Caenorhabditis elegans: one gene and its partners. The protein of the gene in region 2 interacts with the protein of the main gene of each other region in a biochemical or structural test. Each region holds a gene or a part of one and is shown on either strand. Other genes may lie near its edges. The genes, in order: tnt-4, tni-1, lev-11 and pat-10.

Evidence for each region.
Region 1: the proteins of tni-1 (region 2) and tnt-4 interact in far-western blotting, tested with the Caenorhabditis elegans proteins (one study listed by BioGRID).
Region 3: the proteins of tni-1 (region 2) and lev-11 interact in far-western blotting, tested with the Caenorhabditis elegans proteins (one study listed by BioGRID).
Region 4: the proteins of tni-1 (region 2) and pat-10 interact in far-western blotting, tested with the Caenorhabditis elegans proteins (2 studies listed by BioGRID).

Annotation. Positions count from the first base shown.
Region 1 is NC_003283.11:1,987,371-1,996,644, reverse strand, and holds tnt-4 (Troponin T, skeletal muscle), read left to right. Parts: upstream 1-3,731; 5' UTR 3,732-3,758; coding exon 3,759-3,775; intron 3,776-3,823; coding exon 3,824-4,009; intron 4,010-4,817; coding exon 4,818-5,439; intron 5,440-6,392; coding exon 6,393-6,488; intron 6,489-6,552; coding exon 6,553-6,633; intron 6,634-6,842; coding exon 6,843-6,968; 3' UTR 6,969-7,170; downstream 7,171-9,274. Other genes in the region: alh-5 (Aldehyde dehydrogenase), read left to right, coding at 1-309, 359-474.
Region 2 is NC_003284.9:11,374,123-11,381,123, reverse strand, and holds tni-1 (Troponin I 1), read left to right. Parts: upstream 1-3,653; 5' UTR 3,654-3,662; coding exon 3,663-3,722; intron 3,723-3,768; coding exon 3,769-3,894; intron 3,895-3,938; coding exon 3,939-4,065; intron 4,066-4,111; coding exon 4,112-4,256; intron 4,257-4,339; coding exon 4,340-4,487; intron 4,488-4,816; coding exon 4,817-4,963; 3' UTR 4,964-5,237; downstream 5,238-7,001. Other genes in the region: F42E11.3 (Brp/Blh family beta-carotene 15,15'-monooxygenase), read left to right, coding at 5,515-5,614, 5,658-5,791, 5,836-6,005, 6,052-6,130, 6,179-6,325, 6,379-6,525. UniProt on the Caenorhabditis elegans protein: Troponin I is the inhibitory subunit of troponin, the thin filament regulatory complex which confers calcium-sensitivity to muscle actomyosin ATPase activity.
Region 3 is NC_003279.8:14,626,085-14,634,081, reverse strand, and holds the start of lev-11 (Tropomyosin isoforms a/b/d/f), read left to right. Parts: upstream 1-2,987; 5' UTR 2,988-3,122; coding exon 3,123-3,167; intron 3,168-3,302; coding exon 3,303-3,440; intron 3,441-4,140; coding exon 4,141-4,197; intron 4,198-7,029; exon of another isoform or gene 7,030-7,102; intron 7,103-7,997. UniProt on the Caenorhabditis elegans protein: Tropomyosin, in association with the troponin complex, plays a central role in the calcium dependent regulation of muscle contraction. Involved in muscle actin filament organization and muscle arm extension and morphology.
Region 4 is NC_003279.8:5,016,899-5,023,923, forward strand, and holds pat-10 (EF-hand domain-containing protein), read right to left. Parts: upstream 3,189-7,025; 5' UTR 3,166-3,188; coding exon 3,163-3,165; intron 3,095-3,162; coding exon 3,043-3,094; intron 2,993-3,042; coding exon 2,886-2,992; intron 2,479-2,885; coding exon 2,323-2,478; intron 2,273-2,322; coding exon 2,105-2,272; 3' UTR 2,084-2,104; intron 2,029-2,083; 3' UTR 1,885-2,028; downstream 1-1,884. Other genes in the region: C46H11.6 (PDZ domain-containing protein), read left to right, coding at 3,979-4,192, 4,684-4,877, 5,182-5,517, 5,941-6,087, 6,131-6,268.

The DNA of each region.
Region 1 (9,274 bases), on a different chromosome or scaffold from region 2:
TTCTGGATGAATCGAAGGGAGTCGTGCTTGCTGGAAATGAAGAATCCCGTGATCGCTCGGATCGTTTCATTCCACCAACAGTCCTTGACGTCGAAAAAACAGATCCATTTATGCATGATGAAATTTTTGGGCCAGTTCTGCCAATTATCACTGTCAAAAACCTCTGCGAATCCATTGATTTTATAAATAAAGGCGAGAAACCATTGGCTGCCTACATTTTCACCAAGGATGAAGCCAAAGTTCAGAGATTCCTAAATGAAACTACAAGTGGTGGTGTAACTGTTAATGACGTCATTATGCATGTTGCTGGTAAGCTCTCTAGTGAAAAATAAAGTATAAAAATAACTCTGACTTTCAGTTATAACCCTGCCATTCGGAGGAGTCGGAGTATCCGGAATGGGACGGTACCGTGGAAAGTTCGGATTCGACACCTTCACCCATGAGAAATCGGTCCTTCAAAGAGTTTTTGCTTAAAAGTTTAGTGATGTATGAATAATTCAAATTTTATAAGACTTAGATGCAAATAAAGCGTATTGTTAACTTTTTTCAGTAGGCGAACGTCTCGCTAGGCAATTTTTTGTTGTTGATTTTTTTCTCAGATTTTAAAAAGCATTTTGAAATTGCAAAATTTAGCAAAATTCCAATTAGAAGGAAATCTTTATTTTTAAAATTTTATATTTGAGTTCCTACGCAAAATTTCCGACTTTTTCCGTGAAGAAAACATGGTCACCTGCACAAAAATTTGCTGAAACTCCAAAATTAGCTCAATTGATCAAATAACTGTATTTTAAGTCTCTTTTATTTCGAGGAAAAATGACTGTTTGACAAACCAGATATCAATGGAAATGTACATTAAAAAAAACAAATAAGATTAGCCAAAAAGCTTGTCTATTCATTTGCACGGAACATGAAAAATACTCTACATAGCCACTTTTATTTGATTGAAAAAATCATAAAAAATGTAGAAACCATCTATAATTTTTTACAGTCATTTTCCTGTATATTGATACTTTTTCCGGTAATTTTTTGCAAAAAAAACCCGCAGGCGCTACTCCACTTTAAAGTTTTGTAAATTTTGAATATGAAATTAACAAGGGAAGTCGAAAAACTGAACCCCGGACTTTGACATGCCATAGTATTTTTTTGATAAAAGAGTGAAAAAAATGATCTCTCCAAAAAATTTAGCTGCCACGGTCCAGGTTTAGCAAAGTTATGACGTTTTGAAAGTGCAGAAAAAAAATCACTCAGCAAATCACTCACAGCAAAAAAAACTCGAATTTTCAAAAAAAAATTGTTTTCTAAAAATTGATAAAAACTATTGCAACTTATCCAAAAATGTGAAAAACATATATTATGCACATTTTTTCTTCCCACGGACAAAAAACCACATTGCTTGATCTACATATCTTGAGCAAAATTCCAAAAAGTACTTTTCCTTGTATTAGGTCAGTCAATAAGTTTTGTCGTTTTTTCTCATCTTTGATTTTTTCTTAGATATTTTTTTGTGATTATATAGAAGACTGTTAGTAATGATAAGCCCAACAATATCAGCCATATCGGACTACTCCCAGGTATTTTAAATCTCAGAACTGTGATGACGAAAAAAAAATTTTTTTTTCGATTTTTTTTATTTTTTGGCGAAATGAAAAACTTTTTATGCCCTGATGTATTAGACAGTTAGTTGAATAAAAATCTGCAGTTAACGCCGCATGCGTAGCTTTTTGGTGGCGCTACACTCATTAAAATGACCAAAAATGCTTGCAAAAATGATTTTTTTTAACTTTTAGTGGCGGTAACTTCAGAAACGTGAATGATACCAAAAAATAATCAATTGTAAAATTATTTTGCATATCAAGAGCTACATTTTATCAGTTTACTACTTTTTTCTATCTTCACCCGCTGCTAAGTTACAGTCAGTTGAAACAAACCAAGTCCAACTTTTAATAAACACCCTTTTTCCAGATTTTTGCCGGTAACTCCAAAACCAGTTGTTTTCCAAGATTTTTGTCAACAGATAAAACAATCTCCTTTTAATTTTACACATTTTCGTAGTTGAAAGTTTTGTTATATCTTAAGTGTTGGCAAAGATATGAGACAATTAAGCGAGCTCGTCCAATTTTATAAAAATTTTCAAAAATCATCGTGAAAAAATTTCGTTAAAAAAATTTTCAGAGGAAAAGGCCTAAACATTTTTGAAAATGAATAAGTTACTTTTAACTAAAACTTTGCATATACTTTCATTTATCAGCTTTACTTTAGTGGAGAGAAAAATAGAACTTTGGAGTATTTTTCCATTTTTAAAAAACTACGCATATTTTTTTCTTTGATGAGTAATATTCTTGCATAAACCTTATGTATAACAAAATTTTCAACTACAAAAATGTGAAAAATAAAAATTTAATTATTTCAGCTCTTGACAAAAGTTTTGTCAAACAAGTAGTTTTAGAGTTACAGGCGAAAATCTGGAAAAAGGGTGTTTATTGAAACTTGGACTTAGCTTGTTTCAACTGACTGTAACTTAGCAGCGGGCACAGATAGGAAATAGTGGTAAACTGATAAAATGTAGTAATTGATGTGCTTATTAATGTTGTAATTGATTACTTTTTTGTATCTTGCACGTTCCGGAAGTTAGCGCCCTTCAAACTTTAAAAAGTCATTTTTGCAAGCATTTTTGGCCATTTTAAGGAGTGTAGCGCCACCAAAAAGATACGCATGGGGCGTCAACTGCAGATTTTTATTCAACTGACTGTCTAATACATCAGGGCATATAAAGTTTTTCATTTCGCCGAAAAATAAAAAAAAATCGAAAAAAAAATTTTTTTTTCGTCATCACAGTTCTGAGATTTAAAATATCTGGGAGTAGTCCGATATGGCTGATATTGTTGGGCTTATCATTACTAACAGTCTTCTATATAACCACAAAAAAATATCTAAGAAAAAATCAAAGATGAGAAAAAGCGACAAAACTTATTGACTGACCTAATAGGTTAATTTATGGGTTTTCTTGAGAGTTATGAGCTAAGACTTGCATGGCATATGTTTTTCGCTGTTTTGAATCATTTACAGATATTTTTTCCACTTTTCAGAAGAAAAAATTTTTTTTTGAAATTTTTGAAATTTTTTTAAAAAGGTGGTCTAGCCACTTTCAAAACGTCATAACTTTGCTGAACCTGGACCGGGGCAGCTAAATTTCTTGGAGAGATCATCATTTTCACTCTTTTATCGAAAAATTACTATGGCATGTCAAAGTCCGGGGTTCAGTTTTTCGACTTCCCTTGTAAGCATTGAATTTAGAGGGGAATCCTTAAAATTTCTGATCCAAATCCATGAGTTAGCCATTTCAGATCCTTGACTAACCATCACTTCCTGACTTTTTTTCCTGCTCACTTACCACCAGTTCCCCTGTCTCCACCAGAGCACATCACCGATCGCGACATGATTGTACACACAGGTAGCTCTCAAGAGAGCTTACCCGCGATTTGCCAGGATACTCTCCCAAATCTCTCTCATGTTTCCATGATCTTTTTGCGCAGTTTGCGGGATGAGAAAAGAAAGCTAACATACACTGTACGCCCACCGAAACTCGAGATCCGCCTCCCCACTACCACTTGTTGGAATTCATTGGGGTGGGCAAACTTTGAAGACACTATGTAACACTTGCTCTTCTTCCCCTTGCTTCCAATTTATGTTTCATTTCCTAACTTTTGATTTTTTACATTTTTTCAGGGGTTTTTTTTACAACCAATTCACCAATCAACATGTCTGACGAGGAATAGTGAGTTGAAATTTAAAAAATGTTATATTTCAAGTTTTAAAATTCCAGCTCCGAGTACGAGGATGAGGAGGTAGAAGAGGAGGAAGTCGAGGAGGTCGAGGAGGCTGAAGCCGAAGAGGAGGAGGACACCGAGCAGCAAGAGGAAGAAAGGTTCAAGCGAGCTTCTGTCGACACCACGGCAACCGGTGGTCCAGCAACACCGGCTGCTTCTTCGCACGCTCCTGTCTCTTTCGAGTACTTCTTTTTTTCAATTCTTTCCTATCTTATAGTAAAAACTACTAGGCTTTTCTTATCCAAGACCGCCGTGATCTCTCTAATCAAATCACTAGTACTGTTGAGTGGAAAAACTTTTGAAAAGCCTGCGTCTCCGCGCTCGGCCACACTATTTTCTTCGCACTCAAGCACATACACTTACGGCATCACTGTTTGCACTTTTTTCTTTCTTTTCACAATTCCATTATCCATGCAATATTGGAGTGGGTTAGAGGGTCAGATATTTGGAAATAGTTTACTTTTAAATGAGCAACCGACGAATCGAAGTATCCGATGAGAACACATCTGTATTTTTGTATAAAGTAGGAGCAGCCGACATATTACGGGACCAAAATATCATTAAAATCATGTGAAGTCGGGCATGCACTTTTGTTGACCTTCGAGATGTCGGCTGCAAAGTTTTACTGACTGTCATTATGAAGTATGAGCTGCCGACATTATACGGGATCCGGCAATTTGTAGAAGGCAGCTGGCAAACCTCGGGTTTCTCAATTGTCGGCTGCACACTTTCAATGGCTAGTGTAGGAATAAGAGCAGCCGACATATAACGGAAATCGAGATCTCAATGAGAGAGAGATCTCAATATCCGGAACATTTTATTTTTTCAAAGCCTCATTAAAAAACAATTTGCCCTGAAAAATGTCGGTTGCTATCCTAAATTGAAAAAAATTAATTAATGCCAAATATCTAACCCTATAAAATCACTGAGACACTACTAAATCATCACATTCTGAAAAAATAAATTACCCTAACAATATGCATTTTTCAGCGGAGAAGCTCTAAATGAAGGTGAGAAGGCTATGCTCGCCGCCAAGAGACGTCACGAGAACGACGAACAGGCCAAGTTGGAAGACTACGAGAAGGCTCGTCGCTCCGAACGTGAAAAGGAAGAGGAAGAGTTGGAGAAGCTGAAGGAGAAGCAAGCTCAGCGTAAGCTCGCCAGAGAGCAAGAAGAGCGTGAAGCTGCCGAGCGCAAGCGTCTCGACGAGGAACGTAGACAGAAGGAGGAGCAGGAGCGTCGTGCTCGTGCCGAAGAGGAGAAGAAGAGGAAGGAAGAGGAGAAGCTGAAGAAGGCTCAGATGATGGGTGGAGGATTCCCAGGACAACAGGGTGGAAGAAACTTTGTCATCCAGAAGAAGGAAGAGTCCGCCGGAGTTGGAGATCGTTTCGGAAACATCGTGCAGGCCAAACAAGAGATGGGAATGACCAAAGAACAACAGGAAGAGGCTAAGTCGGTCGCCATGGCCGGTATTCGTAAGTCGATCGCCGAGGCTTCCACCATTCTTCCAAATGATATGAAGGCCAAGATCAAGGAGCTTCATCAAAGAATCTGCAAGTTGGAGGCTCAGAAGTACGATTTGGAGAAGAGACACGAGAGACAGGAGTACGATGTAAGTAGTCTTAGTCTTAGGCTTCGGCTTATGTTTAGGCTTGGCATAGTCTAGGCTTAGGAATAGGGTTAGGATTAGGCATATGCTTGGGCTTAGGCTTGGCGTAAGTGGCGAGCGGTAGCTAGGCTTATTAGGCTTAGGCTTAGGCTATGACTTAGGCCAAAACTTACTGATTGGCTTACTAGGGAACCATCAGAAGGTGCCCATCGGACTTGCATATGAAACCTATGCCATTCGATAGCCTATGTCTTAAAACGGTTACTCGTGAATTTTTAGCTGCGAATCTCCAGAACCAAGTTCACGGCGAGCTCTCAAAGATCCTAAAATAGCACTATAATGAAGCATTGAATGGCCAATATTCCTAATTTACTTTGGTAGCTCATATCTCCGTGGATAATTTTTTTAGAGAAAAGTCATCAACTGATAAGTTGTTGATCTTTTAGTAAAGAACAAATTTGTAGTTGAAAGTTTTCCACCAAAAAAATTCTGTTTCAGATAGAAGCGCGTGAAGTGCGGCAACTGTTGTTACTATTTTATTGCTGCTATTATAATGTTTTTATCTGATACAAAAAATTGTTGGTAAAAACTTTCAACTACAAACTTGTTCTTTACAAAAAGATCAACAACTTATCAGTTGATGACTTTTCTGTAAAAAATTTATCCGCCGAGATATGAGCTACTAAAGATAATTAAGAAAATTTCTTCTTTAGATCGTTACAGTGCTTCGTTACAGTGCTATTTTAGGATCTTTGAGAGCTCGCCGTGAGCTTGGTTCTGGAGATTCGCAGCTAAAAATTCACGAGTAACCGTTTTAAGACATGGGCTATCGAATGGCATAGGTCTTATATGTAAGTCCGATGGGCACCTTCTGATGGTTCCCTAGATAGGCTGCAGCATAGGCAGATTCTTTAACAATTTAACCACTGAAAATACGGAAAGTTTGCAAATTTCAGCTGAAAGAATTGAATGAGCGTTCCCGTCAAGTGGCCCGTGCCAACAACGCCAAGAACGGACAAGTCAGCGGAGACGACACCGGAGGAAGACATCCAGTATGTTCATTAGGATTTTTGGCATTAATAGACAAATTATAATAACTAACAAAATTATTTTCAGCCAAAGGTCCAAATCTCTTCCAAATACGACAGACAAATCGACAGAAGAAACTTCAAGGAGCGCCGTCAGGTTTATGAGAACGTAAGTTAAAACATTTGTTTGAAAATTGAATTGGGGGCTGGTTTTTATCTGAGAATTTACAAAACCCTGATTTTGGAATACCAAAAAAATAGAAAAATTAGAAAATTTAAAATTGGTTAGGTATGTTATATTCCTAATTTTTTGTATTTTCAGCTTACCTAGTTTAATTCAAAATTATTCGATTTGTTACCATGTTTTTTAATTTCCAGAAAATCGCATTCCCATGCTTCCCAGGAGTTGCCCCACCACCGGCATTGTACGAGAAGGTGATCAAGAAAATGGACTACGAGATTCAGCAAGAGCTTGAAGCCGCCGAGGAAGAGGAAGACTATTAAGTCGATAATACCAATAAAAAAACCAAAAAAAAAAATCATTTATCCAAGTAGTTTTTATCTTTTTTTTTTTGCAAATACGTTTAATTGTTGTTCAATTTTTCTCTGAAACTTTCAGAAAAATCCAAAAAAAAACCCTCTCACTTTATGTTCCCATCAAACTTTTCCCAATGTCTAAAGTTAAAAATAAAGTTGAAGCGGAAATATTCTGTTATCATTTCAGTTACTGACCTCAATTAATAAAAGCGGAAAGGCGGGCGAGAACGTGGCACTAGAATGTTATCACTGAAATTGAAATAGTTCTTGTTCTGATGATGATGTTTGTGGCTATTTCGGGTGGCTTCCTGAGGAAAAGATCAAATAAGACCGAAATTATATAATTCGACACTTACAAAAAAACCCATTTTATGAGATTATTTTTTTCTGAAAAATTATATTTTTTTCAATGTTTAAATTTTTGAGAAAATCAATTTATTAATTCACCGCTTCGGAATGTTTGGAATTTTTAGGGGTGTCTTCCCGCTTATTAGCCTAGACCTACCTACCTACATGTCCGGCCATCACCTACTCGTTGCCTGCCAAAGCTTTCTGTATTTACTTTATTAGTAAAGCCTCCAATCTTAATTTTCAAACTCCTTCTTTAATGTAAGTAATATATTTTTTGAAAAATAGTTTCACATAATGATATGTAGAGGAAATATGACAATATTGTATTGCTATTCTATTTCTAAAATTTAGAAAATGTATCATACTTTTTGGAATTTTTGAACTTATTAAATAATATTAAAATTGAATTCAACACTCTTTGGTCGATTTATGAAGTGTGCTTAACTGAAAATTTCGTTTAACATGATACTGGGTTTTACAATTAAGCCGTTAAGTACTTACTGAAAATTTACGTATTCCAACTATTAGGAATATTTTTTTGCATATAAAAATAAGGAATTTTGCATCAGAATATTATTATTGAGATGTTTATTATACTTTTTTAATTTGAATTTTTAATTGTAATTAAAAAAAAGTGTTCCAAAAGCCCAATAAATATTTGATTTCCTGTCGAACTTATTTGAAATTAAAATAAAAAGTTTTTTTTTAATTGAAAAGTATCGAGCACTCGAAGAACATAGCAAACGATAAGACAACAAAAATGCGCGGCGCCGAATAAAGACCTGCCTACGTGCCTGCCTTCCGCCTATTTTGTAATTAATTTAAAAAGCATAAAATTGATATTAAGTTTAAAGGTTAAACTGTAGTCACTTCGAATACCGCGTATAAATATTAAAAAATTTATAAAATTGTTTAAACGGTAATAATAAAAACATAATTTTTTTTAAAAATTCTATTTGTCTAGATAAGAGTTACACCGGAAGGAGGAGAAAACAGTAAAAATTATGACCGAGACAAATAAATAAAATGACAAATTGGATCGGTTCATTTTTTAAATATTTTTTTTTTTGCAAAACTATTTTGAATGGCTGATTCATTTTGAACGGCCGATTTTTCTAAACTACTGTAACCCTACCGTATGCCTGTAGTACCCCTACAGTACCCTACAGTACCATTACAGTACCTTAGCATCAACTCCCAACCGATTACCTCTTCAAAAACAAATAAATTTAAAAAAACACTCGGCGGGGGTCGAACCAAGGGAAGCGTTCTGCGCGATAGGCAACGCTACTAACCACTTGGCCATGAAAAAAGGGGGAATATGCAATTTTCGATTTCACACTAAAGAGCCCACTTCTATAGCTTAACTTGGTCGTAGAATTTTTTCAAAATACTTATTGAAAAGAGATCCTCGAGTTGTATAAACTCCTGAAAAATCATAACATAATCTCGAATACTCGAATTTTAATTCAATTTAAACCACCCGAAAATGACGAAAATGAACGATTTTTGGACTATACCTTGAAAATCTCGGCTCAATAAGCTCTTATCGAAAAGCGGTAAAATACGTAACGTGAGGAACTTCTTTTTTAAGAGGTTTAAAAAAAGAGCTCAAAATTTCATCCATCCAGCGCCGAGCTACATGCGATAATCCATGGGACACTTTTAAATTAACAAAAAAACGAAGGTTTGCGCGACAACTCGATGTCCGAAAAATTTCAAAAACGGCTACCCGTGGCACATACGGGTATTTTGAGAAAAAATGCAGAGAAACCGCAAAAATTTTAAAGCAACTACATCTATTTGCATTGGAATATATATATATATATATGTAGTCGTTTGTTTTTTTTATTTAAAAAAATTGATAAAAAATTTTAGAACGTTTTCTGAAACTTTTACAGTTACACAAATTGCACTGTATT
Region 2 (7,001 bases):
ACGAGATGTTGTAATATGTATTGTATTTCATCATTTTAGCACCATATGTAGATTTTAAATATTTTCCTAACTGGCGCAACGCAGTTTTCGAGAAAGAATAGTTTCTTCTACTTTAAATTTTTAATCATTCACACGTTGGAAAATTTATATAATTTTTTCGACGTAAAAAATTAGAACAAAATATGTAGTTACTATAATATTATAGCTGTGAACAAAAAATATCAGGTTTAACAAAAAATTACAGAAAGTTTATATTGATTTGGTAAAAACTTCAAAGTTAATGCACTTGAAAAGCAGAATTAAAACTGTTTGCCGCCTAAAAAAAATGATTGTCTTGAACTTATTTTTGATTAGTCAGTTATTCGCATATGTAAAAGTGACAATTTTATCAGTTTCTTAAACACGATTATTTTCAAAACTGTTCCACTTGATTAAGCACAATACAACCAATAAGAACATTTTTTGTTCATTCAACAATTTCAATTTCTTTCCAATTTCCAGGTTACGTAATAATCATCGTGCATCTGTTTTTAGCTCCCCAGCAAACCAAACACGTGTCTCGTCTTCCATGTGTCTTAGATTCTTACAAGGCAATAAGATACTTCCACATGTCATACATATTCGTTGCCCCTCGCCACTAGTTCCCCATCTCCCCAGAGCTAACAAAAATCGAGATTTGCAATTCGTTTTAGTTTTTACTAGTAGTATAAATTCGAAATTTCTTGATATTGAGAATTTTAGAAAATCTTAGTAGTCTGTTCATCATAAAAAATCTAATCATTTGCAGCATTGAGGTTTCGGTTTCACCATATTCACCTTGTGTGAAAGTCGTTTTCAAAAAGTCGATTCCGTGATGTTTGCGTATATCGTATTGTCCCTATTAGTATTGTATGCAATTAAAATTTTTCAATTTCTCATTTTGAGTGCAAGTCTAATAGGGAAAATGTGGTAAGTAACAAAACATAGTGGTTGCATCCATATCGTTGAGTTTTATGTCGACTCTCAAAATTAGTAATGAAATATATTAGCTAATTGCCATATTAAGCCGGTTAATAAAATAATTTAAACTATATTTTGGAAAGAGAAAAAAATTGATATTTTCATTTTTAAGTCATGAGTTAATTCGAAGAATTTTCTCACTGGAACTATTCCACATTTTATTCCGTCAATATAGCAACGGTGGGGAAATCGAAAGATCACTAATACAAGTTTTGTTACATGTAAAACTTTTACACGTTTTTAATGAATTCAAATGAATTGTTCATTGATTCAATATTCTTCTCACATATCAACAGTTTTTATTTTCACCTCCCAGTTTTTTCAAATTTAATAGACATAGATAAAAAGTTCGGCCTTTTTCTATCTGTGTTTTCCATTGACACATTTGATCAGGAAGCTAATACAACATATGGGTGGGTGGGCAGAGAGGTCCGCCACGTTTTATTTTTGCTGTTACTGCGTCGAATTGAAGGGCACATCAAAATGAGTATTACAACACGATCCACGGAGCTTAGCGTTGCTCTTCTCGAAACAAATGATCAGAGGAGTAGAAGACACAACGCGATTCCAGGAGAGCACTGAAATCCCATCAAAACGTTGCCCGAGCTCTGATGTCTTTAATGTCCAGCTCCAGGCCGCCACACATTGTACTATTCGGCGAGCCAGCCAACTGACACCAGCCGTGTGTCCTGTCTTTTGCTCTCCTGCCACCTCCTCCAGTTTTTTGATGCTACTTCAATACATTCTGTCTGATCGCAGCCAAGCACTCGCAAATCAAATCTCAGCAACCCCCGCAATGCGACGGCACATCGAAAGCTATTCCCATTCTTCATTCCAGAATCTTCTTATTTCTTTTTCTTCCCCTTTCCTTCTTCTTCGTCATCTTATGCTTCTTCTTTCTATCCCTTTTCCCATTTATGTCTTCTAGTTCAACTCATTTCGTTTTCAGCCCATTCAACTGTGCTTCTTCTGCATATTTTAATTTCAAAACTTACTTTCAGAGTTTTGTTTCTTTTCCATTACAAAAACTCGAGACTTGTCTGGAATGAGAATCAAATCATATACTTTTTAATAAATATATTTTTGCTCACTCAATCTATGATGAAAAAAGAAACTACTTCAACCAAAACTGAGTATTCAGTATTCTCTCCCCTTTTCCTGCCTCTAGCTACATAATAAGACCTTCATTAAATTTTTATTTGTGCTCACTTCTCGTTTTGAAGTCTTTCTATTCACTCACATCAGTCGTCGTTTTTCACGCACTACTACTTCAAATTTGTATGTTTTGAGCAACGTAAAATTGTTTCTACCACCAATTCTTAGATCCGAAAATTTCATTTTTAGTATTATAATTTGATTACTATTCGCTGTCAGATTCATGACCGAGGCTAACAAAACACGCAATGAAACGCCTTTCAAGAAAGCCATTACACGATAATTACCGCTTAAGCTGTCAGTTTCGGAAGCCCTCGCGAAAAAATGGTGTATGCTCATTTTGTTCTCAGAGCTTCTGCAGAGCACTTCACTCACTTCGAATTTTCCTTTCAACTACAATTATTGTCCTTCTATCCACCACCTTTCCTTGCTTCCTAACAACATCCGCTCAACTAACAACTCTCACCTTCACGTTTTTGGTTTCAAAAACTAAAACACTCGCACTGAATCAGTTGGTGATGGCCATTCCACCATAAATTCATTGTTTAATTTTAACTTCCCCTATAGCTTCCATTACCTTTTTTCACCTAACATGTCTTTGCGCTTCTAACTTCGAAAATCTTATGTTTTCCGATATTATTTTCTCCCTCTGTTCACTTCGCTCGCACTTGCACTGTCCCAATTTAAACATCACCACTCGCACATAACCACGTTAAAAATTGTAATGTTTGTTATTTGTAAAATTTTGCAGATTGAAATTTTCAGAATGTATTTAAAATTTCAAAGTACTGCGATAGGCGTACAGGTTATTGTAATATACTCCTACAGTGGTTCGAACAATACATTACAACTAAACTGACAAAGTGTTTATTGGAGCACCAAAATTGGTTCATTACCAACAATAACAATTTTGAAACCATGTCTGAAATATATGACGATCATGTACCTAATGTGTTTTTTTTCTGAAAAACAGTCATAAATTTGGTAATCAATTGCTCCAGAATCTCTTGGCTGAATACAAGGTAACCAACACAATGTTGTCGTACTTCTTCACTTCTTACATCAACCTGCCAAAGTGAGCGCATGCATTTCAGTCATTTTTTATCTTTTTAATATACACTTACTTTCAAATTTTTGACTAGAAAGTTAGTTGGATCTGCACTAATGTTTCAATCGCTTAATAACACACCCATCACTAAGTCTTCCTTTATTTATTTTTTTTTCGAACAACATTCACTGAGCTGATAAAAATACCGTTTGTGTGCGTATCGTTCCAGCAAACCTCACACCCAAACACTTTAGACTCATTCCGTTTCATGGTTTTGCCTCTTCTATCAATCTGTTTTCAATTTGAATCCCCTTTCTCACGTTTACACACACCCTTGAATACCTTCACACCCACCGTACCTCTAACGCTTTCCACCAATTGCTTGGCACATCCCATAGTAGTCGTAACCTTTGTTTTCTGTAAATGTGCTTCTAATCAATTTGCATTTAAGGACTTGAAAATGAGCCAAATTGATGAGAACATTCGCTACGGCGGAGCTGCCAACGAAACCGATGGCGAGGTAAACAAAACAAAGTCATTTGTGTTTTTGAAACGATATTGTTCAGGATGCCCAACGAAAAGCCCAAGAACGCGAAGCCAAAAAGGCCGAGGTGCGCAAGCGCCTTGAAGAAGCAGGACAAAAGAAACAGAAGAAAGGATTTTTGACTCCAGAAAGAAAGAAGAAGCTCCGCGTAAGAGAACATTTGACTTTCAACACTTACAGATTCATTTTCAGAAGCTTCTTATGAACAAGGCTGCTGAGGATCTTAAGACACAGCAATTGCGGAAGGAACAAGAAAGAGTCAAGGTCCTTGCTGAAAGAACCGTTGCTCTTCCAAATGTTGACAGCATTGATGATCACGGTTCGTTCAGTGCTTTAGGCAACAAACAAAATTGTGTATATTTCAGCTAAGCTCGAGGCTATCTACAATGATTTGTTCTCCCGCCTCTGCAACTTGGAGGAAGAGAAATATGATATCAACCACATCACCACAGAGACTGAAACTACAATTAATCAACTCAACATTGAGGTTAACGATCTTCGTGGAAAATTGTATGTCTTTAAATAAACCCAGCAGTGCTAGTGTGTTTTCACCTGCTCCAATTCCGCATGACATGAGAAAAAACTATTTTCAGCGTAAAACCATCATTGAAGAAGGTGTCCAAGTATGACAACAAGTTCAAGAAGATGGCTGAAGCCAAGAAGGAAGATGGAAGCAAGAACTTGAGAAATAATCTCAAGACAGTAAAGAAAGAGAGCGTCTTCACTCAAATTGCCAACAAGGTAAGTTTGTAATAAGTTTAACTGGAATATAAAACTAGTTTTTACTTGAACTGTCAAGAAAAACATGTTAACAAAAAGTAGCCTGCCAGAAAAATTTCTAGAACACATATTTTGTGTTCACAATATTGAAAACTGGCTGAAACAATACATCAATATAGAACATTAAATACAATGTTTAAAATTGACATTTAGAATCCAAAAAACTCAAAATAATAAATTATATCAATTTGTAGTACTCAGAAACATATACTTATTTTATCAACATAACTTTAAAAATTGTTTTCAAATTGATATTTGATGAATTGAATTTACAATAATCCACATTTCAGAAGAAATCTGACAAGCCAGAATGGTCCAAGAAGAAGGAAGAGAAGAAGGAAGAAAGCGCCCCAGAACCAGTTATTGAGCCAGTTGAGGAAGAAGAAACTGCTGCTTCTGAGGGAGAAGAAGAAGAAGAAGAAGCCGACGAGGAATAAATACCGGCATTGTTGTCATTATCTTGTTCACTGAATCTAACTAATCATTCTCGCGTATAATACATTTCATCAATTCAATTTATGTGCCTTTTGAGTTTGAGTATTCTTAAAATTTTGTGCATGTAAAAGGTATTTGGCCCTTTTTTATAAATCTTCATTTGTTTTGTTCTGCCGTTATACTGTTTCAAAATTTCCAGTATACATTCTTTGTATTCTTTCAGTAATATTCCATCTTATTCTTTTCTGCATATTCGCAATAAATGAAGTTATCACCAACCCGGAATTACAGAGCAAAACTCGAAAGCAGCACAGAAAGGCATTTCTATTTGTGTGAATTATCCTAACGATTTTCAGCTGTCAAACTAACAAATGTAAATGAAACAGGGAATAAGGCAAAAACACCTGGAAACGCAAATCGCCGCCTTCTCCGACGTCACCAAGTGTAACCGGGTTGAGACGAAATAAAAGGAGCTCGATAAGCCATTTTGATTCTGAGTTAAACTCGAGATTGGTTTAATATGGAAAGAGTTCAATTTTCATCCTACGATGAAATGCTCCACTACAACTCACGAGTTGCGAATCAATTCCCAGGAGTTGATTTGAACGTTTTTCGGAAGATTCACTATCTGGAACTTCTGTCACAAATGTTTGGTATGTTAGTTCACAATTTTTTTAATACATTTATAGTTTTTAGGATTCCTATTTTACACTTTCTACCTGATAATTTTTCTGGTTCACGGAAAAACATTCTTCATCTCCGAGCACACATTCAAAGCGATCTTCATTATTCAAATGATCACTTTCGGCGCGGCACTGGTCATTCAGAAGGTATTCAATTTTAGTTTTAAAACTGTAGCATCACACAATTTCAGTTTTCCTTTATGGTCAACTCGGTAGAATATGTTACGTACTCAACATTTCCATTTATTCCAAAGTTTGTGATCTCCATTTGTGATCGGCTAGTAACGGCTCAAATGCCTTTGTATTGGTTTGTTGTCAGTGCTTTTCTCATAATTCAAATTGCCCAATTCGCTAATCAAAAGTATGTGTTTCTGTCAAAACAACATTCTAATAAATACATTTTTCAGTCCACGCGGAATTAAACTGGCACATACCTACTTGATACCTTACGGAATAATCATTACCCTCATTTCCTTCATTACCCCGGTAATATTTTCAAGAGAAGCTCAGAAACTAGGAAATCGTTGTTTTCAGGATCATATGAAACTTTTTATGATCGTCGTCTGCTTTCTAATCTGGTGGATTTATCGAAAGCATATGATTGCCCAGTTGTACAGCCAAGACATGACCGCCCGCGACGTTTTGAATATGCGCCGGATGAACATCTGGCTGTCCAGTCAGGTGAGTCTCATTAAAACTCAATGTGTTATATCAATAAATTGGATTTATTACAGATTTTCGGGACACTGATCTTCCATCTGCTCGACTTAGGAATGATGCTGGCTATCAAGTCGTCTGTGACTGACACTGGAAGACAAACCTATTACGGATTCTATAAGAATGAAGTAACAAACCATTCAACAAACGATAAAAATCAATGAATAAATTTTAGGTGTTTAAAGTGGTCACGTGGATTGCCACGTATGCAAATGCATTCATTTTTGCCTGGTCAACAATCAATTTCATCAAAACCGACGCTTCTAAGGAGCCGACCACACTTCCAGTTTTTGTTAATGGTTCGCTTCCAATGGATTCACTCTCGCGTCGCCCGTCTGCAATCTCTGCGTTTTCCATGAACAACGTGGCACCGATCACCCCACGTGGATCAAATATGTTGCATATTTAACGTTCATCCATTTATTAATATGTTTTAATCAAACAATAGATTTTAATAAAAACACAATTTTGTTTCATTCAGTACAAGTATGACAAAACCACCATCAACTTGATAGATAAATAGTAAACAAGGAATGGATCGAGCTGAGATAGGCAGATTGGATTTTGGGAAGCTGGTGGACATGGAGGATGGGATAGAAGGAATAAAAGCAATAAGCTCTGGTTCTACAGAAAACGTCGA
Region 3 (7,997 bases), on a different chromosome or scaffold from region 2:
AAAAAGATATGTACGAGAGAACACATGGGTGTTCTCATTTGACGAGTATATTGAAATTTGGAAATTTTATTAAGGTACTACCGTAAATATATACACATGCATATGAATGAATATACATTAACAGAAAACCGGAAAAAGAAAAATGTACACTGTTTTCGATATTGCTAAAAACATCAAAAATCCCCATATCCGTTCAAAAACAATATTGTGTTATATTGTTTTACAGTAATGAAATTGGAGGCAAACTGTCCCCAACTACCGGATTTTGTAATGAGACGTCTTGAAAACTTCTCATTACGAAATTCGGTCTTTTTGGGGCATTTTAGTCTAATAGAGCAAAAATTGACTTATTTAAATATTAAATTATTAACCTGAATATATACTGAAATGGAACACCGACTTAAAATAAAAATTGATTATAAGGATTTTGTTTAAGTATTACCGTAAATATATTCAGTAACGGAAAATCGAAAAATGGAATGTGTACACTATTATAGTAAATTTTGATACCGTTAGATAACAATTGCATGTTCAAAAATTTGTATTGAAAAAATTACTAAACCTGACAAAAATTGAATATATACTATATTATACTGTATTAGAACTGTTATTGCTATATAGCCTCTAATGGGAAATGATTATTTGCTATGGTAAATATCCGGAAAATTTTAAGTTTTTTTTTAAAAAGCGTAGCTGAGTAGTAAAGCTTAATGAAATAATGCAGTAAATACGAAAAATGCTAAATTCAGACAGAAAACCACAGTCTTCAGGAAATTTCGGCTGACACTACTTATTTTCATTAACGTTCAATTTACGATAGCGTGCAAAAAGTAACAATATTTCCTCTAGCCTTATGTAGACTAGAAGTTATGGTAATCACGTTTGATATAAAATTGGGTTGAAGTACTTAATTTTGCGAACTTATCTGAAAATTGACTAATCCGTCAATGCATAATTATAGTAAATATGTCATTTTGAACATTAATTCGGATAGAATGAAATTTAGAAAAGAAGTGTCTTTTCTTTTCCGACACATCCAATACGAACAGATATTATATAACGAGGTCCCCCTAGTCATATTACATGCAAGACTAATCGATAGGAAATAGTGTAGCAAGTAGCTGGTACTATTCATGGATCTATTTTTCATCACCATTATATAATCGTAATACATACATACATGCATATATACATGATCACGAATCTTAGTTGACATTAAATTATCACGACTTATTTAGAAATACTGTCTATGATAAATAGTTTTAACAAGTATTCTCCTACAAAATCATTAAATATAACCCTAAATTCAAAATAAACCACTACTATTATACCTCTTCCACATAATCCACTGATATTATCAAACAAGTTGCCCTCTTGACAATAAACTCTCGAACGCCAACTGTTTCGAATGTTTTGTCGTCGGCTGGATGCCACAATTGCTTCTTTTCGGGGATAAGAAGAAGAGCATATACACACAAGTAGTATTGGATTCTAATGTCAGGATTTCAAAAACTGAGACTCTGATCATTGACCGACTTTTGGGAATCTGAGATAAAAAAAAAGAACAATAACAAAAAAAAGTTTAAGGGAAGTAAATGCGTTTCTATGGATAGTGGGTAGGGCTGTACAAATCGGCGTCCGGTCGTCCGATTTTGACACCACCGGACGCACATGCGTCCGGTTGGGGGTAGCTATCCACGACGGCCGACAACTTCCGAGTTTCGCCACTCACTATACTTAATCAGCAATTTTATAGTGAGTGGCGAAATTCGGAAATTGTCGGCCGTCGTGGATAGCTACCCCCAACCGGACGCATGTGCGTCCGGTTCGAACTTCGGACGACCGGACGTCCGGTTGTACAGCCCTAATAGTGGGTAAAGAGAAATGGAAAAATATGGGAATGTATGAAAATTGGAAAGATGAAATGTGGTACTTCTTATTGTAAAATTAGACACTAATCAAATTCCGGAGAACAAAGCTATGTAACATGGCACTGTAAAAACTGAGCTTGTCATATTTTTTAAAATTCAGTTTTGATTGTTCAGTTTTCTTTAAAAATTCATTCATGAATAGTTACAGTAATAGGATATCTTATATCACGTGTGCATTAGTGTTGCAACCCTTTCCATAAAGTTTCAAGGTTCTTAAAAAAAGGTTCAACTGGAAAAAAACCATACTTGTAGCATACTCTTTCGTAGTGTAATATTACTAGGGAAGCCCAGATTTATGATATCTGTTCATATTGGATGTATGGTGAAAGGCAATATGATTTCGTTATGTTAGGCTTGAAGGCTTGTTAATAGGCTTTAAAAAAGGCTACCAGTAATGTTAATGTTAAGGTTGAAGCCTTGTTAGGCCTCGAAAATGAGACACTTATTTTTTAATTTTAACTCCATTAATGTTCAAATTTAAGGATGTCCTTAAAAATGTAACTAATTTTAATGACACCATTACTTTAATAATTTATTAAAGTTTTAGTCAATCTTGAGTTAAATTTTCGAAAATTTTGCAGCAATTTGATTTTACATCACTTATGGTTATTATTACTAACAGTCTAGATATATAAGAAATATCGTTACTATTTGTACGATAACGTAATTAACAATCAAATTGATAATCGTTTCAATTTTTTAATGTAAAGAGGCTCAGAACGGCTTTTGCCACGTCATCAAGCGACCACGCGAATATCGGTCCTGGAACACCATACCACCTTACTAATTATGTGGTTTTTTTTTAAAGTTTTGTTCCTTTTTCCATTCCACGAGAAACCCTTCTTCTCCCCAATCATCATCTTTTCCATCTGCCATCGGCTCTTGCTCTTCTCCCCACAATTCCCGTTGCTCCGTGTGTGCTGTAATATGCTCCAGGGGGGTGGGTGGGCAGGGATCCCATAGGCATAGGTCTCCACGAAATCAATACTATCTAATCATCTGCCACACCCCCGTCTGATGTTGTGGAGGAAGTGAGAAGAGAGAAGAAGAAGAAGAAGAAGCGGGGGCTCGTGTGGGAGGAGTCTCGTGAAGACGGGAACCTGAAGCTAACGGGAGAAGAAGAATCATTCTCCCCTCCAATTTGAATCGTCGATACTCCGTGTGTTTCAACACAACAACAAACTACCAAAAATGGACGCCATTAAGAAGAAGATGCAGGCCATGAAGATCGAGAAGGTTTCCACACTTTTTTTAAATTTTAATACTGTTTTATAGTGAATTTCTTCAACTTTTTCAATTTTAAAATTAGTAGTGGTCATATACATTCCAATATTTTGAATTTTTCCTCAAAACCATATACACATATTCTAGGACAACGCTCTCGATCGTGCCGATGCCGCTGAAGAGAAAGTCCGTCAGATCACCGAGAAGCTCGAAAGAGTCGAGGAAGAGCTCAGAGACACCCAGAAGAAGATGACTCAGACCGGAGACGATTTGGACAAGGCTCAGGTATGGGTTTAAGCCAGAATTTAGGCTCTTTGCGTATATTTTATCGATTTTAAGACCCCATATAAACTGGCTTCCTAAATTTTCGCTTAGATCTTGGTTTGATAAGACTTTAAGCTATCAGATTTTTACCAGGAAGCTTAAAAATTCATGAAAATCGCAGGAGTTTCTAGAAGTTCCAAAATATTGTCTAGCTTCTACTTTGATACCATATATAATTAGCGTATTATTAATACCTACTTTCTCAACTTAAAGCCGCTATCCCGGAAGATTTTGGCCTGAAACTGAGCAAAGTTCTGAAAAGCAGAAGTTGAGCTCTAAATTTCCTAATTTTTTGGAATCAAGCTTTTACAATACCTTATATATAGCGAATTTTGATTACAGTCCGATTTCAGAAAACAAAATTTTTTAGAGACACTGGCGCTCAAGTAACCTATAAAATCTTAAAGTATAACTAAAAATCACCCTAAAAACAAAATTCGAAATTCATAGTGCAGGGTGCTCAATTTGTAACTTTTAGCCCTAAAAATTTAACCTGGAATCTAAAATTTACCTAGGACACCACTAGAAATCAAATTCGAAGCTCATGGTGCATCGTCCACCTAGGTCTACCTGTCTCCCTGGGCTTATGCTCCTAAGCTGAAACACTTAGGCTTAAGCTAAGCTAAAAGAATAAGCTCAAAATCAAACTTCCATTTTTCAGGAGGACCTCTCCGCCGCCACCTCCAAGCTCGAGGAGAAGGAGAAGACCGTTCAAGAGGTGAGTCGACTTTCTTTTTAAAGCCCAATCCGGGCAGCTTTTGGTTTCTAAACCGACTTCAGGTATTTCCAATTCCCAATCCACAAGCACAACGACCAGGTTTGTGGCGCGATGTTCAAAGTCAATTAATCCGTTAATTAGTCAGTGAGTAGTTGGAATGAAGAGAGAGAGATACATACATATATACAGCTAGTTTTCCATTCCTGTCCTTTTGGGCATGAAAATGAGTGAGAGAGGGTGACGTTGATGATGATCCGCGGTTTTTTTCTCTTTTCCACCCTCTTTCTCTCACTTCCCATAGGCTTCTTCCCCCACCGGGGTAGCTATTGTTTTGTGTGTGTGTGTGTGTCTTCTTTTTTCAATAATGTTCATATATATATATATATATTGTTTCTTCAAATGTTTGGTATACATTGTACTGTATTCAATCATGATTCACTTTTTTCATTCCGTCGAGAGTCAGAGATAGGGTACTGTAGAAATCCTTCTTTCCCGAAAAAGACTTGATCAGGGTGTGGCTGTTATCTAGTTAGCATGTTATATAACATTATGTAATGATGTTCAAACCAGATTGGCATCACTTTTAGCTCGGTTTTCCAGATTTCCCAATTTTGTAAGTTGTCATTATACTGTTTTATTGAAAACTGATTGTGAGCAAAAAGTGTTGTCAATTTATGTAATTCCCTTTAGTCATTGCTATACGTTCTTGAAAAAATTTTGTTGGCTTAAAACATTCTTAAGCTCCGGCCTTAGCCAAATTTTGCAAGGCTACTTTTCAATATTTCGGAAAATTCTAAGTGGTGCCATGTGATATTTAATTTTCTAGCTTAACAAGCTATTAGTTTTCAAGTACTGATCCTAAAAATTTAAAGCTTAGAGCAGTGGCATTTTTTTTGGAATTTCACTAGTCTGGCGGTAACTTTAAGCGAATGTGATCTATTAACACGTGGTGCCAGGTTGTCTCATTGAAGTTTGATCTACAAAAAATGTGGGAATTTTTAGTCAGCACATTCTTAGCCATGCGAAATCAGTTAAGAACTGTGCGTCTCTTCTCCCGCATTTATGTAGATCAAACCGAAGTGAGCCACTCTGACACCACGTGTAATATAATAATCCAGCAGAATTCAAATTCCTCGTGGTGATTTTTCATGCATTACTTTTCATAGTCTTCGAAAAAAATGCTCAATATTTCCAACTTCGGAGTATTTCAAGTGTATGTTAAGCCTATTTTGAATCCCACGCATCACCGAATTTATCTAGATTCCTAGAATATCTACAGTGCATTTTTTTCCACTTCTCCAACTTTAAAGGAGGGCGCATTTATACGAAATGGTCCCGCCACGCGGCCCAAAAATCAATGCGTGGCGGGACCATTTCGTGTAAGTGCGCCCTCCTTTAAAGCGGTAGAAGTGGAAAAATATCAGTGATTTTTAGGAAAAAAACCTTTTTTTGTCGAGAACTTTTTTCCCTCTCCCGACGTTTTTTTTGCACACAACTTGGCGCGCCGAAATCCAATTTCTTTGCGAAAAGCTCAATCCCATTTTCCGTTACTGCTCAAATGAGCGAGAGGCGAAGAAGAAGAAGAAGATAAAGTTCGAGGAGTGTATGAAGTGCTGTTGGGGGCTTCCTTCCCCTGCCTGCGCCATTGTCTAATCTCTAAGTCTCTCTAGCTTCTCTCTCTCTCTCAATTTCTTCTCTTCCAACTGATTACAACGAGATGTTTGCTTTACAACAACTCCTCCCCGCCAATAGGCTCCCGAGGGCTCACTGAGCATCAACGGGCGGCGCGGCGGGAAAGAGAGAGAGAGAGCATCTCCCCCGCAATTTCAAGAAACGAGGAGAGCTGTGTGATCGGCTTCTCGGCATTTTTCAAGGGGCAAGTGAATGGCATGTCAGTTGAAATGGAAATAAATGAGAATAAATGAAAGCGCACACACCAAAATAGAAACTACAGTAGTGCCTAATGGGTCTCGCCACGATTTTCGTAAAAATTCTAAAATTCCTAGGATTTTCTTCCGAGAACTAGGCAAATGCGCTGCATTTTCAAATTTTTTAAAGGAATTTGCAGGGTCTTAGGTACTAATTTCTAGGGGTTTTATTTGACATTTTCAGGCGCTTATTGCGGAATTTCTTACTTTTAGTGTCAGGCTGTCCCATTACTGTTTGATCTACAAAAAATGCGGGAAATTTAGAAAGAAATTACAATAGTACCGAGTAGGTCTCGCCACGGCAAGTAGACGCAAGTTTTGACTCTTTTTGTGTAAGGTTTTCGGTGGAAACTACTCTACAATTCCCAGGGTTTTCCCTCAGATTTTGGTTCTCAGATACAAATTTCTAGGGTAGGCCCTTAATGCGAAAATTCTTACTTTCGGTGTCAGGCTGTCCCAATACTGTTTGATCTACAAAAAATGCGGGATTTTTTGTGACATCAGCACGTTTTAACCATGCAAAATCAGTTGAGAAGTCTGCATCTAAATCCCCGCCATTTTTGTAGATCTAGGTAGATCACACCGAAATGGGACGTGCTTTTGAAGGGCAACTTTTGAGCGCCCAAAAGTTCAAAATTTTGGGGAATTTTCCCGCCTAGCTAACAATTTTTCCTGAATTTCCAAGTTTGTTCGGCCAGTGTTCCCAGTTTACAAAACTGGCATTGAACTGTCATTCAGCTCAAGACCACCTACCAATTAGAGACACCTTCGGTACATACACCCCAGTCAGCCGGTTTCCCGGTCTCCATCTCTACCACAATTTGAATAGAACATGTAATTCGGGTAAATACTCGACGTCTTTTCTTCCTCTCTCTCTCTCTCTCTCTCTCTCTCTCTCTCTCTCTCTCTCTCTCTCTCTCTCTCTCTCTCTCTCTCTCTCTCTCTCTCTCTCTCTCTCTCTCTCTCTCTCCAATTTCCTTCTTTTGTTGAAGAACACGTCAATGTACCGCCCTTCCGGTCAAAACACTCAACAGGAAAAGGAAAGGTCTCTCTCTGTATTTGGGAAGAAGATGCCAATCTGCGTTGCAATATTCTTCGCCCCCTGCCTCCTGCAAAAAGCTATTCATCAAGCCACGTGCCATTGTGTGGGACATCTCTTTCTCCTTCTATGTCTCTTTTGGAAGCTCTTTCTATGTCATACAACATAGTATTCGATTACTAGTCACTTGGCTTCACCCAGATGGGTCCAGTTTCTTGGAAAAACGCTACTTTTTTACAGTAAAAACATAATTTTTTGGCTCAAATTTTGAAATTCTCAGTGAAATCCTTTATGTCAGAAGAAACTTGACATTTTTTGCTAAAACCCGCAATTTTTGTCCAGTTTTGGAATTTTCTTATAGTTTTCTTGTTCCTGTCTTTCCCTGATTTTGCTCGTGGTGCCAGGCTGTCCCATTACGGTTTGATCTACAAAAAAATGTGAAATTTTTTTTTCACTCTGACACAACGTTGCTTTGAGCATAAATTTTGAAGTTTCTTGAGCATTCCCCTGAGTTTCTGCCAAAAATCGAAAAAATTCTAGGCGGTTTTACAATAAAACCTTGCTTCGGACGGTTTTCAAAAATAGTATTCCACTTTTAGCCAATTTTTCTAAGTATTTTAAGCTATTTTGGGATCCCACATGGTGTCAGAAAGTCTCATTACGGTTTGATCTACAAAAAATTCGGGAATTTTTTCCCAGAAAAATTGTGAGGCCTTTAGTCATGCAATCTCCCGCATTTTTTGTAGATCAAAGCGACATGGGACTTTCTGACTCCACGTGGGTGCCTGGCCTAACTTTTGCTATACACTGAGCTCTTTTCTAGATTTTGTTAC
Region 4 (7,025 bases), on a different chromosome or scaffold from region 2:
CATTGTTGCTCAAAAATAATTGCAAAAAAAAACTTGTGAGCTCCAATTATAAAAAGTACAACAGTTCCCGAAGGTAAAACATAAAAAATGATCTGGTTCAAATGGTAAACGAGCTAGAGCCAACGGAAATAGTATGACACAAAAAGATTGACACAAGAAGTATAAGGGCAGAATGACAAAATAGGGATAGAGAAAGAGAAAAGGATTAAGTTGGAATTGAGAACTACAGGAAATTGAAAAATGAGAGATAAAATAGAAATGAGGTGGATTTATGAACTCATTGAATCTGAAAAGCTCTCTGAAATTGAAATTGAAATCAAACAAGAATTCTGACGTCAAATAGATTTATAGACAATAAGATGACAATGGTCAAGGGAGAGATTGAGGAAATGGAGAATGAAAATAAAAAGGTTTTCATACGTAAATCGACTTTTTTTGAACATCGATCATTGGTTCAAAGGATTCTATTTTCTGGCACAGGTTACATGTTAATGCATATTGAACAGTTGAGAAGTGCATTTTGGCCGTTTCTGGTGATAGATTGAAATTTAAAAAGTTATTTTATCAGATTTTTCAAAAACTTGGCTAAATTATGTGGAGCCTATTTTTGAAGAATATGTTTTCCAACAATAAGAGTGACCGAGTTTTCTCAGGTTTCAAAAGTAATCTAAGACATGTAAGAAATAATTTAATTTAAAAAATTTTCAGCAAAAACTGGTGAGTTTTCTCACAATCAGAGTGATGTTTTTTGATAAGTCGTGTGAGCTAAAAATATATTTTTTTTTAAAGTATTTAAAAGAATTGTGTATTTTATTTAAATTTTTATTTTCAGAGAATTACTGCAGTTCTGATTTCAGCAGTTATCTTTCAAAAATACTCTAGAAAAACACTTGTTTTTGTTATTTCTGAGTTGAAGCAAGGTAGCTAAAGAATGAAGCAAGGAATTTAAAAACAGTGTTTCAGAATGAGAGACATAGAATTACAGTAAACCAGATACATTATAGACATTGAGAGCATCCTAATATTTGTACCTACTTCAAAGAAACTAACACGTGGCGCTTTGAAAGGGAGTGAGAGAAAGAGAAACGGAGGGACAACTCTATGTCTGTCTCTTCTTCTTCTTATTTTCTAATTTATATTTACATCTGCTTTCTTCTTCTCGTTTTCCCATCTGATGGTTTCCATAGTAAGTATCTGGGCTCTGATAAGCAAAGAGACGGCAGAGAGACTCGTGAAGGGCTTCTGGAGCAATAGTAGCTGCATGTGATGGACACTATTTGGAGTCTCCACCGTTAATCCCTTTTCTATTCCTGGAGGGATATTGGTGGGAAAGTGGATAGAAAAAGATAAAGCCTATGTTACACTAAGTTTATATAGAAAAGAGTTGAGCACAGATAGAGAAAAAGAGAGGGATTTGTTGAATTTAGATTTGGAACAATTGAAATAGTGAAAAACTGTTTTGCAAGTTCACAAGTATCCTGAAATTCATTCGTAGAAAATCTACATAGAGAATTGTCACTTTACTTTTGCAAATTTACAAAAACTGTCCTGTTGCGCTAAAACGGTAAAAACTGTAATGCCGCAGAGTAGAGGTCTCATTTGCAGTGATTTAATACATTTTCCATTTTTCATAATTTTCATTCTATTTAGAGACACTTCACTTTCAAACAACAAGGTTGCAACGGTGAATCTCTATATTTATAGAGATTTGTCATTCCATTCCCCGTAGATGGACTTTTCCCGTTTTTTTAGGTCAAGAGAAAACGGAGCACTATACTGCGGATTTGATGTTGTGTTAAAGGATTTGAGAAGTCTAGTTCTTCTGATTATTTCCTGATTTTGGCCGTTTCAAATTGGTCACACTCTTCCAATAAGCCTGTGGATGTACAAAGACTTTTATTCATTTTTATTCATTCAAAAGAATGACAAGAAAATTAATAAAAAGTGAAATGAATTTAACATTTCAAGAAAAAGGAAATTATGAAAAGTTGGTGACTGGTCCCCACAGTTGAAGATTGTAGATCAGCGCTGAAAAATAAAAAGTTAGTTTTTGAATAAAATCAAAAAAAGCTCGAACACTTACATTTTAAAGGAATTAGAAAATTTAATCAGACTCTCCAGCCATCAACTCCCAGAACTCCTCGAACTCAATCTTTCCGGAACCGTCCTCGTCAATCTCGTCGACAGCCTCCTCGAGTTGTTGATCGGTGAGGTCATCGGCGATTTCTTTGAGAAGAGCCTTCAGAGTTGGTCGAGAAATATATCCGTTACCCTGAAAAATTAATAATTAAAGAATAAAAAGCAAAATCTAAAAGTACAAACCTCCTTGTCGAAAAGACGGAAAGCTTCACGAAGTTCTTTCTCCAATGTTTCCTTGTCGACAGTGTTTGCAACGGTGTACACGAGAGCGCAGAACTCGTCAAACTCGAGCTTTCCGGAACCGTCAGCGTCGAACTTGCGGATCAGTTTACGAAGGGTCTAAAAGAATGAAGTTAGATGCCACATAGATTTAGAAAAATCAAAATCATCAATTCTATAACTAAATTTCATAACATATAGTTATATCTTACTTTAGTCGACATAATAAATGCTTTTGTTCAGATGGAATATCAAAATTAATTATTTCACAAACATTAGTAACATGTTTTAGTGGCGAAAATTAATTGAATTCAGTTGAGAAACAAGCCGCAGAAGATAGGTCGGATAAAAACAAAATTTTAGGCAAGAGTAACCCATTTATATTTTCGGTTATCTTACTCAGTTGGCCTACCTAATCATTACCGTGAAACCTAAATTTAAAAGAGTTGAAAACTTCCTAATTTGAATTATCACTCTTCTGAAGATCCCCTAACTCTACATAAACCAAAAGTTCCAAAATGATTTACCTTCTCATCGAAATCCTGTTCCATTCCATGCATGATTTGACCGATCTGAGTGGCCATGATGTATCCTTGCTTTCCTCTGTCGAAGGCATCGAAGAACTTTTGGTATTCTAGAAAGTTTTAATGATGATTTTTCAATCATAAATATAAAATATCTTACCCTCAATTTGGGATCCGTCGATTTCAGCAAGAATCTCTTCGATATCCTCAGCCTATAAAAGTATAAACATATAAAAATTCAAAAAGAAATTTATTGAAGACATGAGAAAGCGGGACTCACCATGTTGTCGGAGTTTGTTGTGCTCTGGATAAGCTTCGTCGGGCAGAAGCAACGGCGGGAGCGAGTAGGCGGAGGAACCCGAGGGCGGGCTTTTCTTTCTCACAACGGCATCATCGTCTCCTCCACAAAACACATTCTTGGTGTTACACTGGGTGACAGATGCTCCTGATCAACGGGCATGAGAGATCATAGAGGGCGAAGAGACGCAGAATGATATCTGTGTGGAAGTTGACGATGATTTTTGCGAAACACAGGATTCGAGAGACAAGGCTCTCCGAGAAGGAAGGGGAAACGGGAGGAGAGTACGAAGAAAGATTGGGGGGACAGGCAACCAAGGATCAATAAAAGTCCAGGAAATAGAAAAAAAATAATATAATTGGAGTAGAATTAAGTACAGAAATGGAGTTGACAGGCAATATATGTAATTGAACTTTCCCAGAATACTTGGATTCTTAGCTGTACATGGTGACCAGAACATCTAGCCTTTTTGGGCTTCAGAACACAACAACGTTTTTTTTTCAGTTTTTTTAAATGTGCACTGAGTATGTATATCTTTACAGTTTTATATCAAACGTTTAATTTGAATACTATTTTATAATTCTCAAGTTTCTCCAGTAACTTTTTATCGCGTGACACACCATTTTGAATTTAAACTTTATGTTTTTCCAATTCAGTTTAGTCGAGGGGGAGGAGGTAGATTTCTAATCATTCTTATTTATCATTTGACACTAAATTTCCGGATTTCAAAAGGAAACCATAATCGTGAGTTTGGAGCTAACAAGTAACTTCGGAAAACGTTATTTCTTTTGAAGAAGAATGTCGAAGAAAAAAGTGCAGAATACGAACAAAAAGATGAAAGAATGTTGGCTGACACCGATCCCACAGAATGTGGAAACTGTAAATATGACAGTTTCATTCAAGATTGATGAAAAAGATGTCGGAAAGCCTGCGAATGAAGTTATTAGAATTAATGAGAATTCGATGGTTTCTTTCCTATCAACAAACTCGTTTTACAATGGATTGATATTGAGTAAGTTTCCAACGGCCGGATAACCCGAAACTATTTTGAAGCGGGCCAACTTCATAACAGAATCTTGCAACTTCTTACAAACCATTATTTACTTTAGTTTTCTAACAAATTTCTGCAGCTTTTCAGATGACTCTTGCAATTTCTTTTGGCAAACTTTATGAAACATTTCGCTTAGAACTGCTCCGGTTTTTGCAACTTTGTAACATCTCTTGGCAATTGTTTATAAATGTTTGTTTCAAGTTGCAAGAGTTTGCTATGAAGTTGTGATGTTTTGCCGAACAAATGTATATTTATCCCCGATAAAATAATAGGCAAAAATTGGTTTGACTGGTACAAGGGTTTCAAAACTCTTCTGTCCACAATTATACATTTTGAGCCAGGAAAAGTCAATTTTCCTCGGAAGACTCCCTAGTTTCTTTTCCACTTTACACTTTTCCAATTAATGTATTAAACCAGTTTAAAAAACTAGATTAAAAATACTTTTCTTTCAGGCGACAAAATAGTCAAGGTGAACGGTGCCAGTGGAAATATATCCAAGTATCAGACAGAGCTCATGAAAGGTGAAACATGTAGTGTTGAGGTTACAAGACGGAAAAATATTATCCCAGCGACCAGAGAACGGTTGAAGAAATCGGGATGTGTTTTGAGACGGGACAATACGTGCTTTGTTATTGAAGTTGAAAAGGTATAATTGAAGAAAAATCGACATGATTATCTTATTCGAAAATATACGAAATCTGAACTTTGCAATGAGGTTTTGAACGGAGTTACAGAATGACCAATTAAATTCTAGAATTTTGCATGTTTTTTGAGTATGAATTGTTTTTAATTTAAAAAATTAAAGACGAAATTATGAAAGTTTTTTTGACGAAATGTGACGAACTGCTTGTTGCTTGACAACAAAAATTCTCATAAAATAATTGTTTAAAATAACTTTGGATTATACCTAGAACTTATGTCCACCCCTTAATAAATACCATTTACTCCAGACTTCCGCAATGAAAAGTGCAACGGTTGGAGTTACAGTGACATATATTCAAAAACGTGGCATAGTAACTCGAATCGAGCCCAGCTCACTCGCTTCGATATTCTTTGGTCGTGGGGATCTGATAATGGATATAAATGAAGAATCCATTCTGAACGCAGAGAAAAATGACGACTTCATTCGTGAGAAACTGTCGGGAATTTTGAAAGGAGAAAAAGTCACATTTTTGGTTGAAAGACCGGTTTCTGTGGAATCTGCAAACACTCTTCGTCATTTGATTGAGTCAGTTGCTCCAGATCCAGATGTTAAGATGGCAAACGACGCGATATGTATTGGTCGGGTGAGGACTTTTTCTTCAAATTGTACCGGCTGAACGTTTGCTTGGAAAACCGGCGTCCGGTTTTGCAAGATTTAGGACGATCCGTATGCTGGAGCTTCAACAAAAATATTATTATTAAAATAACTAAACACTGGGTTTCTTAAAATCAGAAGTATACAGTAAGCCTGAAACTTGAGAAATTGGTCACCTCAGTTTCCACATCTACTCGGTAAATTATTGCTCCGAGAACATGAATAACGCGTGTTTAGACCACTGGATTGCAATCAAGTCGCCGAATTTCAAAAATTCTTCTGGAATAAATCTCTAGTCGTCACCCGCCTGCACTTTCTGAGCAGCTATTTGTAGAGTAATTTAAAGTGGAGCCAAACTAGAAAATATACAATTTCATACTTTCTTAACAAGACATACGCATTTTTCTTTCAGAATGCAAGCAACATGCACTATAACGTTCTGAAAAAGTTGCAACCAAAAAGCATTTTAAGTCGGGATGTCTTCAAAGGGAAAAATCCTCGTGAAAAGAAACCTGGCAAGAAGTTGAGTAAAGAAAAGGATAACACAATAAAAATATCGGTGAGTTCTTAGCTTAATTTGAAGGTTCAACATTAATATTCAGACTGCAACATCCACGGCAAACATTTCAACGGATGTGGCTGAAGATGAAATCGATAATTTGAAAAACGTTGTTACCAAGAGTCATGCAGTTAGATCGGGTGATGAAGAGGAGGAACGTGGAGCTTTTGATGATGAATGAGTATTTGATCTTTATTTTTCTGAAAATGAAATTTTATTTATTGGTTTCATATTTTGTTGAACATTCTTGGTAATGCTTGTGCTTTTGTGAAACGATAATAGTAATTGTTTTACTAACAAATCATTCCATGCTGAATAAATGAGATGCGAATTTCAGCTGATCGGGATAACCTTGTATGCAACAAATTTTGAAATATAAAATCACATAATGCTGAATTGACAACTATTCCAAAAATATTCCAAAACTTTGAAATATTTTCATTTACAGTGAAAATTGTCTATTACTCGGCTTCACCTAACATAATTCTAGAAGTCTGTGGAAAGACCAATTGTTTTTCCTGAAGTTTTTTTAAATTTTAGTACGTTCTATGTATTTGTACCTAAACATTCTAGGTGTTCGAATCTGCGGTGTTCTATATCCCTCAAAATTTTTTGTCGCAAATAAAACCTTTTCGACCAATCAGTGCCTAGCCCCTCCTACTTGCTAACCAATTATCGAAGTGCCCTAAGAAAGTCTGTAACCATCGCCCGCTCTTTCCATTTTTAAATTCCGCGCTGACCATTCTGCCGTCGTTTCAAATATGTACGCATCTTATCATTACTAAATACCAATATTTGATTCCCCCATTTCTTTGTTCTCATTCGGTTTTTCTTTCTCTTCCTTTTCATCGTCGTCTTCTTTTTTCCCATTCTTCTCTTCTCACTTCTGATCTGAGCACCAAAATGTGTCTCATGTCAAATGTGGAATGCAAGGAAGT